Drosophila melanogaster: one gene and its partner. The protein of the gene in region 2 interacts with the protein of the main gene of each other region in a pairwise test. Each region holds a gene or a part of one and is shown on either strand. Other genes may lie near its edges. The genes, in order: SCCRO3 and CG6230.

Region 1 (4,964 bases), on a different chromosome or scaffold from region 2:
TCGAAGCAAGCACGCTTGCGACGGAACACCGTGAATTCCACACCGCAACTTTCGCAGGGCATCGTGGTCGTTGGACACTGGCCAGCTGCTCCTATCGACCGTGTCCTTGCACTGAATCCTTGCCCTTCCTGGCGATTACACCCCTTCCGCCTGCTCACGCCCACTGTGCTGGCATTGCGTTTGTTTTTCAATGTCAACGCCGTGAATCACTGGATAAAGAATGCCCTGCACACGGCTATCATTTCCACCTGGTGGGGATTTGTTCAAGAGCGCGGAGGTGCACTCAACACTTAATCATACCCAGCTGACTGCGTTTGCGATGATTTTTATAATTTTATCAGGCCAACCAAAATAGCAATTTAATGTACTAGTCTCACGGTTGCATGGAGGCATTCCTATCGGTCCAATCTGCAGATATGAATATCGATAGGCCATGCAATTGGCGGTTGATTTGAATACATCCCCCCATTTTAAAGCAACTATTATGTTAAGTTAATTTACTGGTATATCAAACTAAATACGCCATGCCATAATTAACAAATCCAATTAAGCAGTTTAATCTTTTAGTTGGTTTTATTTAATTCACATCCACTACTTACAGTTAAGTATGTAATTGTATGCATTTAAATAGTTAAGTGCCATAAAATGTTGCAATTTTGTTTAAAATAATACATCAATTAATTGCTAAATATTATACGGTCTACCTTCTGCTCCGCCTTCAAGTCAATTAGTTATATACACATGTGGTTTCCGATGATTGAGCTTTTCCAAAATTCTTGTCGATAAGTCTTTAATTACATAAACAAATGCGTCCGTTGTTGCTCCGGCCAGAATGTTGGCCAGCCATAATAAGAGCTGGCTAATGATGGCAGTTGGAGAGTCCGTCCTCAAGCAGCGCCAGCACCGCATCGTTCGTTTTCAGTGGCCACGGGTGTTTAAAGTTTTCTACTTTCACAGGGGATCTTAAGCAGCAGCTAGAGAGAGCGAGTGGTCAGTATAGATGAAAATGTACATTCTTTAATTTCTATTGGCGAGTTGAATGTTGCTTGGCCCTGAAGAGACTGGAGACTGGCTACTATGACACAAGACCCGGATCCTCGGCCTTCACGTGGCTCTGTAGGGGATCGTCGTTGTTGTTGTCATCGTCGTGGATGCCCGAGGAAACCAGCGCCCGGCTTTTCTCGTAGTCGACAAAGTCGTCGAAGAGGCTGGGCCACGCTTCGGTATCATCGTAATTTTGTATATCACATTGTTCCGTAAAATTGAGGTACATGTTCCATGTATCCTTCGGTATGCGGCGAATATTCGGGTGCTTTTCGAGGAAGTGTATCCAGTTGGAGAAGAGATCAGGTGTTTGTACAGTGAACACAAGTTTCCACAGGTCAATAGCCATCTCCAGAGAGAGGACGCGCTGATCGGGCTCCAGACCAAATCTGAAATTTGAGACGCTAATTAGGTACTGATCTTCCAAGCAGTAAGAACGGCATACCGGAATGTAAAGCGGTATAACTGCTTGAACATCTCGGCGTCCGCCTTGAGCATCTCGATTGTCTGCTCCAGCCGCACCCGGATACTGTCTATTGTGTCCGCCCTCATCTTATGCAGACCCTCAATGAACTCCACCTTGGTGAAGCGGCACATCTGCGAGGCATCCAGGCACCAGGCCAAGACGAGAATTGCGAACTCATCGGGCTGATAGTTGAGGTCATTGCATAGTCGCTCGATGCCGTCCGTGAGTATCATCTCCTCGTCGTCGGGATCTTTGTACACATCGAATAGTTTGCTCAGCGTTTGGTGCGATACCTCCATCGATTCCTGGACAGCTATTAGAATATAGAAAATCGAATGAGTATGCCGCCAAGGCAGTCGAATGAACGCTGACTCACCAGTTGTTATGATATCGCTCATGGTGGGCGCACTGCCATTAAGCAAACCTAAAGACTTAAAACTATTACGCTTAGTATCACAATTGTTTGCTTTTGCTGGCTTGAGTGGAGTTCGGCTAGAGAGCAGTTCATCGGTTTCTAGAGTGCATAAGCCGGAATAAGAGAGGTTTCTTAGACTTTGGATCACAATGCGGTTATTAACTATAGAATACCCACCTAAGGCGCAGCGCTCGTTGGCATTGGGATTAATGCCCACCGATTCGTAGCAATTTGCAAGGCTGGTGGCCGTCTGGCAGGCGTTGGAATTGGAATTGTGTGAATTGGGGGACGAGGCGTTCGTTGGCATCGATTGTTCGGCGGCAGACTGGAAGCATTTCAGGCAATTGCCCATAGTGCGGGCGTGCTTGGTGCACCACCAGGTCCTACTCCTCCCCCGTGCTCCGCCTGCAGTTGCTTGCTTAACGGGAGCACTCGATGGCTTCCAGTTTCGTTTTGGCTGAGACACTGTGATTTGTCAAGGGGCGTGCAATTGCAATTGAGGTCTGCTGGTCGTATAGCTTCTGGGAAATTTATTAACTATGCATTGGCACTGCGATTCCCTCCTCTGGCATATGGTAGTGGCTATTCCGATTCCGATTCCAAGTACGTCCTGTGCGAGTACAAACAAGTACGATTCCGATTCCGATTCTTTGTTGTCACTGCGATTGCTGTTGTTATTTTGGTGCCTCCTACGCAAACGCACACTCACGCGTATACACATACATGTGCAGGTTGCAACTGCAGCATTTGGTGCCACCAAATCGCGCTCGTCTCTCTCTATTGATGGTTTTCATTCACATTTTCAGTTCACCGTGCTCCAGCGCGTGTTTAACTACAATTTTTTACAATATTTTTAATTTGATTTATCTCGCTTTTTCACTTGTCTTGTTTTTTTCTGGCAATCGGACCAGGGCGGCACTAGTCAACCAGGGCTGCAGTGCTCTACGTTAGTTGATGCGATAGTCGTAGCAACTTCAGTCTGGCAACACCCTATCGTCGAAGAGAGTCACAGTAGGACATACAAGTTGATTCCGCACAGTAGTTCACACCTTAAATATTTTCGTACAAATTATTCTATATTCAAATACGATTATTGAACCAATACGTTCAATACAATGTTTTTATTAATTTATATTCTTTATATTACTTTATTGGTTAAGAAATTTAAAACAAAACATTAGCATACATAATTTTTCCCATTAAAATATTTAGTTGCCGTCTAAGCAGCATCTATCATTTTCTCGACCACTGTGCGTAATGTGAGCGCCGAGTTTGAGCAAAGCTAACAATTTCATTCAACAACATGCAGTCGGAGCGGTAGAAAGTGCTTCCGGGTAACGGCTTTCGGAACGTGCATATTCTACCGATCGCAGATGAAAACTTTCGGTTCGTTTGGCTAAAAAGAAAAGTGTCAAGCTGCCCGGAGTGGGAAAATCCAATTTGAAATCCTGCATTTGAAAAGTCGTCTTGAACCGGGACAACTAACTGGTAATAAGTGAGTGTGTGTACCCGTGGTAAATAAGTAAATGGTTGACTGTCTCGATTTTCGGTTGTTTTGGGCAATTCGAAAACCAGCCAACAAGGTTGAGTGAACTTGGTAGTTGGTCGTTGGTATGTAAGCCAAACTCCGTCGTGCGCAGTAAATGGGTAATGTTTTCTTGTGTGCGTGTGTCGTGGGCCTGTGATTCTTCGCGGCGGCTACACTTTTCTTTTTCTTTTTTGGATTATTAATTCGAAACGTGTGAACGTTAGTACAAGTGCTGGGAAAAAGGGCAATATGCTTAGGCTTAGGAATTTGGCTCATCTTCGGGCTTATTTTAATTGGCCAGCCCCACACAATAAGCACATTAAAAAGTGGAGTAAGACAAGAAGTACGAAAACCCCGTCTACATTTGGTACCAGTAACACCAAAACGGAAATCAGTCGATCTGATACATACATTGTACATATGTATATGCATATATAGGGATCCAAACCTAACATCACCACATCTAAAATGAGAAAACCGTAAACTAAAATGATTTATATCTTTTTTTACTCTAAATATAACAATACACACACCGTTCCAATCATTAAGTATACATTATTTCAGCGCTGAGCGGAAGATTCTTGGGTATGTTGAGCATATTTTCGAAGTAGCTGGACAGCTCTTCGAAATTAACTTCGTCGGGGCTTTGAGTCGGAGCTTCTGTGCCTCCATTAGAGAAAATATCATCACATTGACAGGTCAGGTAGACTGTATCGGGATCCGTTGGGATCGATTTAGCCAGATCCTGTAGTTTGTCCACCCTTGGGACCGTCAAGTTTATGGCGTTTCCGTAACCACAAATATTTTCACACTCGCTCATCATGGTTTTAAGATCGTAGGCATTGCCAGAAACCTTTCCAGTCGCAATCTTTGCCCAATTAGATTCCTTCTCTTCGTCGGTGTCTCGAATTTTGTGAGCCCAATCCACTCCTTCGGCACGAATTCTTTTAAAGGGATGTTCAATTATTGACTTTCGAAGAAGAAACTTTTGCTTCAGTGTATGCTTCGGAATTCGTAGATCTTCGAATTTGTTGGAATCCAAAGTTGCCTCTATTGCAGATTTATCGAAAGTTGTTGCTTCGATTGGATTGTCAGATATTATCATCTTACGCAGCTCGGAGGAGATTTTTTCTATAGACATGCTTTTTAATTGTAAAGAATTGTTGGCGCTTATGTGTGTGACCTAATTTTGAGAATCTTGAGATGTGTGATGGAAAGGAATGGCAAGTATAATGAACAGCCTACTCATCTCGCCTTGGATTCCTTTCAGATCGATTCAAGAATTTCCATCGCCAACCTGATTGAAAGATAACACAGACGAATATGTCATCGGATCGGTTTCACAAGTGGGTACATGCAATTAATTTGACTCTATCTTATCACCAATGGTGATGCACAAGAGACTCATTAACTTTCTGGTACAATCGTTTCCGTTTAGAGCCGCCAAAGATGGGCTGTTGGATGTGTTGGCAGCAGCCACACGGAAGGATACGAATGCCAAGGACAGTGAT
Region 2 (7,029 bases):
TGGCCTTCTATGGCATCCAGAACGGTCTGACCGCCACATATATAGTATTCGCATCGGCTTTGCTCAGGATTGTGTACATCCGGTTTCATTTCATCAACCAGCTGCTAAATGGTTACACCTATGGGCAGCAGCATAGGCGCAAAGAAGGTGGAGCACGAGCGAGGCGGCAGCGTGGTGACGTCAATCCCAATGTCAATCCTGCTCTAATGGAACATTTCCCGGAAGACTCGCTATTCATATACCGCATGCACAACAAACTGCTGCGTATCTACAAGGGCATCAACGATTGCTGCAACTTGATTCTGGTCTCGTTTCTGGGCTACTCCTTTTACACGGTCACCACCAACTGCTACAACCTCTTTGTCCAGATTACCGGCAAGGGCATGGTTTCACCAAACATATTGCAGTGGTGCTTCGCCTGGTTATGTCTCCACGTTTCCCTGCTGGCTTTGCTGTCACGCAGCTGTGGTCTGACCACCACGGAGGTGAGCAACTACATCGGAGATAAGATCTCAATATTCATGAGTGTTTTTATTTCAAGGCCAATGCCACATCCCAAATTCTTGCAAGGGTGTATGCCAAGTCGAAGGAGTATCAGAATATCGTAAGTTATTGAAAAACGAAATGAATCAAAGTGATTAGCTAAGGGTTTCATTACCAGATTGATAAGTTCCTTACGAAGAGCATTAAACAGGAGGTGCAATTCACGGCATATGGATTTTTTGCGATAGATAACTCCACACTATTCAAGGTATATAATCCACGTATCCCTTATTTATTAATGGGATGTACTGCAAGTTCTGTGTATTTGCTGTTTATTTTCAGATATTTTCGGCCGTCACAACATACTTGGTAATCTTGATTCAGTTCAAACAGCTCGAAGACTCGAAAGTAGAGGATCCTGTACCAGAACAAACTTAAATGTAACCTATATCAAAAGTATTTGATAAATATGCATCGCGGCTTTCGAACTTTTCTCTATTTTTATTAGCATTACAAATATTACGACAATTTCACTAATCGCATATACGGGAGAGTCGAAAAAATCGAAAGATCTCAATTTGTCAAAATAAAATGATATAGGATGCCCGATAATACACTTGCCTGATAATACACCTTAAATGCATTATGTTGATTCTTAGATGAAGAATTTCAATATTTATGAAACCGACGCCATAATATTACGTTTTGTTATTCATCATTATGGGGGTACAAATAAAAACGAAAGGGGTTTCTCTAGTGGAACGTACGGCTTGCGCCTGCTTTCACATTACTTTTCTAGTATTTAGTATAAAATGGTCCTAACAGTTCAGCACTTTAGATTTGCGACGCGTTTCCCCGAACAGGAATGAGCAAATACGGTCCAAAAGAAAAGCCCCTACAATATCTAGGACCAGGACGCCGAGCAAAGTTTTACGGAACTGAAAATGATAACATTATATACATTATAACAATAAAATATACTCAAGTACTTACATCCGTTGGGAAGTCAATTATCTCAAAGAATTCCGTCAGTTCGGGCGCCAGTCCCGTGGACAGAAGAATGACCAGTGCAGCGGAGGCTCCGATGGCATACATCAGCATGCGATTGGAGCGCAAGCTCTCCATGAACGGATAGCCCTACGTAAGTTTAAGTTTAGTATTCTGCGTTGCACGATATGTCTGGGAGCGTACCTTGTAATTCACCGCAATGGTAGCGACTTGTAATGATAGGCAAATTATGTACACCGTGCTGCTAACAATATTTGGATCGTATTTGGTCTTCTCCTCGGCATCCATATCAATGTACAACTTCACTTTGCCCTCTCTGCAAAACAAATTATCAATTCAAATGCTTTTCTTTTCATAATGTTCTAGCCAAACACACCTAGGCGGTGCCAAAATGTTGGCTTGGCTGGTCAGGTAGTAGAGCGTTCCGAAATGCACAGCAAACTGACTGAGAATGGTCGATATCGTGTAGAAGTTGAAGATATTTGGCAGTGGAGCTACCTTGGATAGAGTTTTCAGCGGCTACATAAAAAACAAATACAATACTTTAAATTGTTCTAATAAAATTAAAGCGCTGTTTTACTTACCTTAGCTCGTGTGATAAAGAGGAAGCAGGCGGCAATGAAAATACCCTGCATGGTGGCTTGGGTATCGCTGAATTTTATTCCATCAATATAGAGCACGGACTGACAGTAGGCTTGAATGAGGGCGTTCAGAGCAAGGATCTTGAACATTTGGAGTGTGGTGACCAGCGTGCAACGACCCTGCTTAATGATGTGGTTAACTAAAAATTAGAACACATTAAGTCGAAAGGAACATAAACAATAATTCAATGATACCCACCGCACATAATTGACGAAGACTTGCTGGTGAATGGCGCCGCTATAGAGGCATCACCCAACTTGACCATAGTTTGCTCTTCCATGTCGCGGAGTGCGTTTTGGAGGCGAGCCTGTGTCTGATTGAGATGCTCCTGGCGCCGACGCAATGCCCGCTCCCTGGTCGTCAACTGTTGATTGGCATTGGCTTGTGCCTGAGCTGCTATTGCAGCTGCATTGGCCGCCGCCTGCTGCTGTTCCTCCTCGGTGCGTTTGCGCTTCACTGGAGCGCTGGTCAGCAGGGAGACGCCCACGTTGGCGTGCTTAAGGGCACCCACATCGTTGGTGCCGTCGCCGCACATCAACGTGCAGTAACCCAGCTGCTTTAACTGTGTGATTACGAGCTCCTTTTGCTTGGGTGCGAACCTCGCACAGACCGTAATCTGTGGCAGTAGTTGGCGCATATATTGCGGCTGATTCTGTTGCAGATACTGCAATCCCTCTCCGGTAATGCAGAGATCATGTGTGGCTAGCAAATGGGAAAGCTTTTTGCTACCAGGCTTAGTGTCCAGTTCGTAGCTTTGATCCCCGTCAATAGATACCCAGCTCCAGTTGTTCTTACGATCCTCCTCGGGCGGGGTGAGAATGATCAGCTTTTTACGGGTGAAGCGCAGTTCGCGGGCCACATGACAGGCGGTGAGCGGGCTGTCGCCCGTAATCATGACCACCTTGTGTGAGGATTGAATAAGCTCCTTGATCACAGATTTGGAATCGGGCTTCATGGGACATGAAATAATCAAGAATCCGGCGAATGTCAGGTCACACTCCACTTCCTCACGCTTCATTTCCCTAACTCTTTGAGCGCCCAGGGTCCCAAGATCCTTAATTCCCAAAGCCAGTACGCGTGCTCCACGACGAGCGTATTCCAAATACACCTTAAAATAAAATTTTGTTGAAAATTGATATAAACTTATATAACAATAAGATTCGAATTAGATACCTTCTCATAGTCCGCGGGCACCTCGCGCAGCATCTTTTGAATGACCTCAGGAGCTCCCTTTACGGCTCCTATGTGTTTAACCTCATTGGAGTACGGAATTAGATGACCAGCTAGCACAGACATTCTCTTAAGTGCCGATGAAAAGTGATAGCGCTGAATGATCTTCAATGGCTTAAACTGTGGTCGCTTTGGGATGACGCTGTCCATCTTGGTAAGCGTCCAATCTACAGCTGCTAGAGTGGCTTTCTCAAGTGGATCTCCTACCAATCCGTCATCAAGCAGAGCCAATGAATGGCAACAGGCGAGCACTTGAACCGTATTTCCCTCCGCCTTCTCAATGGGGACACAAGCCCCATTGGGAGCCAATCCTGCAATACCTTCCACCATCAGATTATCCGTGGTCAGTGTCCCCGTCTTGTCGAAGCAGCAAATCTGCACTTTTCCCGCGAATGGAATCCGAAAGGGTTCTGTACAGAACACGAACAACTTTGTTAGCTGGATCAGTGATGTGTTTACCGCCAAGGTCAGCTCGATGGGCAAATCCGGCGGAATTATGGACGTGAGGATGAGCGTACACTCCAGGAAAAGTTTGTAGCGATTGCGCTCCGGGTCTTCGCTGCCCTTAACCCACACATAAGATGCTGCGGCTACGGCAAATACCATAAGGAAAGCGATAAAAGCAAAGGTCTCCACATTGTTCTCCGTTGCGCGATTTGCGCCGAACAGGATTGTCCGCAGTAGTTTGCCCTGGGATGTGTTAAATCCAGTACGGATAACATAGCCGATGCAACCACCGTCAGGAGCTCGAAGCGATTCTTTCGTCGGGGCAGTATGCTGGACTACTTTGGTGCCACCAAACAGCACAAACAGCTTTCCATCTCCTTCGGCGTCCATTTCAACGTCCAAATTGTCTAAGGATTCCAATGACTCCTTCATTAGTGGCACTGATTCGCCAGTGAGCATTGATTCATCCACAATGCAAGAGCCTCGAAGAATGACCAGATCGCAGGGCACTATGTTGTCGTTTTGGGACCGCGTTATCGACACCAAATCCCCGGGTAGCAGCTCGTCGGATCCAAGGTGACGCCACTTGTTTTGACGAAAGGCGTATATCAGGTAGGGCTTGTTGCCCATTTTTCGGATCTCGGACATGTTCCGCAGCTGCTGCTTAACAATAGTGCACTCGAAGGCAATTAGCATGAAAAGCGTGAACAGGGAATAGTACCAGTAGTCGTCCATGCACCACAGTCCCACGGAGAACACTTGGAACACGAAGAACGGCGCAGTGGCGCGTTCTATGAAAAGTTCGTGGAACTCAGGAACCACCATTTCCATTTCGTTATTTCCGTAGGTTTGAGTAGCCCGCTTAATGTCCTCCTCAGTTTCCAAACCTCTAGATGAGGAATAGGTGCTCAGTAGTCCATTTACCGGGAATTCGACGGCGCGGAATGTCTTCCGATCCTCATTCCAAACGTATTTGGTCTTTTGGAAAACGAAATAATACTGTGTTGAGCCATCCTCCAGCTTGGAGGACCGAATGGGGACGATCTTCGAGTTGCCATTGTTGGGAGTGGGTACGACTTTGGCCAGCACATTGGCGCCGGGGAGCTTTACACGACGGCAAGTGAGGAAGGCCAGCACGTGAACGCTCCAGTAGCAGAAGAGCAGCGTCAGAATGTGCAGAAAGGCAATGGCTAGTACGCCGATGAATCCCACGTCATTCCAAGTTGTTATATTATCCGTGGTCGTTTGGTTATCGGCAGTTATCACATCGTTATTGGTGGTATCATTCTCCTGTCCACCCGTAACGTTGATCCACAGGTAGAATGCCGACAGGTAAAGTGGCACAAAGGGCAGCACAACACCGGTCAACGGCGTGGGTATGCGAACATGGAGGCTCACATATTGCACCAGGTCGTCCAACTTGGTTGGCTCTTTCGGCCTACCGGACTGCAGAGCCATTTCTTTGCCGTACGATTCCGCGTCTCCGGCGGCTCCTCCTGGGTTGGTTGCTCCAGCTGCCTCGGTCATCGGTTTCAGGTGGGTACTCCTACTGCAGCGCGTTTCCTGTGTGAGGTTTTTAGAAAATCTAAAGCACTTTTTATAGTTGTAATGTCATAGCGGCAAAAAAAAATTGTGAAAATTCAAGCAACGTTGACAGGCACCAGCTGTTTGTCTTATGCTATCGATAGCGCCGACTTAGTGTTGGAAATCCAGTGTCAGCGATATGTTATCGGATTTTTAAATTCAAATTCATTTTGTTGTCAGCACATTAAATTCACACAAACCCCCAAAAATTTAGCATAATATATTAATACCATATGTACAAAGTATGTAAATATTTTATTAACCATTATATTTTTGGGAAACAGCTTCTGTTTTACTTAGACCAGGATCGTCTTTAAAATAATTTTGTATAGCTTAATAAATTTTAATTAATAATACTTACTGTAGTGCAAAGTTTTACTTTCCCGAACCATGAAATTAAAACCATCTAAAGTGCTGATTCAACTAAACAAACACCTGTAGATTTATTTGATGCAATAATAAAATAGGAATATTAGCACAGTCTCGCACGCACGCGCTAATTGACATGTAACGCTTATTCATCGACGCTCTCCATCGGCGACTGGACATTCGCATTGGGTCCACCGGCGGCGGCATATGCCTTCTCCATAGCGGCCTGCGACTCCCGCTTCGGCGTGACCCGCTTGTGCTGTGTGGTGAAGTTTACGTTGATCCGTCCGCTGCCACGAACGGAGCTCATGGGCGGACGCATGAGGGGCGTGGCCAGGCGACTGGCGCCTCCCGACGATGGCGGATACTGCAGTGTATCTGGCTTGGGCGTAGCTTTCGCCTCCTTGCGTACATCCACTACCAGAGCTTCGCGCACCGAGTTCTCCTGGAACTGCTTCACACGCTCGCGCATATCTGTCTCCCGCTGGATCTCCTTCTGGATCTCCGCCCGCCGCTTGTTATCGTAACGTTCCAGTGCCTTTTCATCCCGCTTCTTGTTGCGCTCCACGATGAGGTCGGCGATCTCTAGGCGCTTCTGCATGAGTGCCTCCTTGTCCAGCTTCTGGAACATCTCAGGCCATAAGCCCTTCTCTTTCTTAACCAGCACAATGCGGGCTTCGTTCTTAAAAATGCGACAAAAGCTGTAAAGATAGTTACTCCATTAATATATGTGTCCCAAATTACAGAAATGCTTTAATCCTCATCCCAACACCTCGCTGAAGCTGAAATAATCTTATACTTATTAAACTCTACTAACTCACCTGGCCATCTCGTCGATCTCCTGGGCCAGATGACGCTCAAAGAAGATGGGTGGATTGTTGAACTTTAAGTACTGCGGAAGGAGAACAACGTCCGGCTTGCGGGTTACCAGACGATTGAGTTCGATGGAGATCTTGATGTCCTCCTCTGTCTGCGAAATCTGTACCATGATGAGTTGCTTGGCTTCCCTGTTCGTTTGCGCTGCTATGGCCGTGGTTCTTCTGCTGCTGGTCTGCGACTGACAATAGGAAGGAACTTATGTTTTTGAGCTGGCCGGAACTGGGGACTCTACGACGACAACTACGACAGGGCCAACTACCCGTCGGCTGTTCACTTGCAGCGCATATTGGTCGTATTCCCCCTCGATTTAATTTGAATATTAACCGGGCTTCGAACCACCGAAACAAACCGACTGCGTTTCCCATCGACCAAACAATGATTGGTTGT

Evidence for each region.
Region 1: the proteins of CG6230 (region 2) and SCCRO3 interact in a two-hybrid assay, tested with the Drosophila melanogaster proteins (one large-scale study listed by BioGRID).

The regions. Positions count from the first base shown.
Region 1 is NT_033778.4:12,933,677-12,938,640, forward strand, and holds SCCRO3 (squamous cell carcinoma-related oncogene 3), read right to left. Parts: upstream 2,860-4,964; 5' UTR 2,278-2,859; coding exon 2,103-2,277; intron 2,025-2,102; coding exon 1,887-2,024; intron 1,824-1,886; coding exon 1,490-1,823; intron 1,434-1,489; coding exon 1,076-1,433; 3' UTR 558-1,075; downstream 1-557. Other genes in the region: CG17019 (uncharacterized protein), read right to left, coding at 1-62; CG30487 (uncharacterized protein), read right to left, coding at 3,998-4,594; Sans (scaffold protein containing ankyrin repeats and SAM domain), read left to right, coding at 4,777-4,799, 4,892-4,964. UniProt on the Drosophila melanogaster protein: Promotes neddylation of cullin components of SCF-type E3 ubiquitin ligase complexes and thus regulates SCF-type complex activity. Function promotes cell proliferation.
Region 2 is NT_033779.5:11,114,835-11,121,863, forward strand, and holds CG6230 (uncharacterized protein), read right to left. Parts: upstream 5,486-7,029; 5' UTR 5,338-5,485; coding exon 3,307-5,337; intron 3,242-3,306; coding exon 2,332-3,241; intron 2,273-2,331; coding exon 2,076-2,272; intron 2,011-2,075; coding exon 1,868-2,010; intron 1,808-1,867; coding exon 1,675-1,807; intron 1,621-1,674; coding exon 1,477-1,620; intron 1,422-1,476; coding exon 1,302-1,421; 3' UTR 922-1,301; coding exon of another isoform or gene 826-921; 3' UTR 801-825; downstream 1-800. Other genes in the region: Gr32a (gustatory receptor 32a), read left to right, coding at 1-485, 542-604, 662-751, 826-921; Dnaaf4 (dynein axonemal assembly factor 4), read right to left, coding at 5,909-6,464, 6,585-6,751.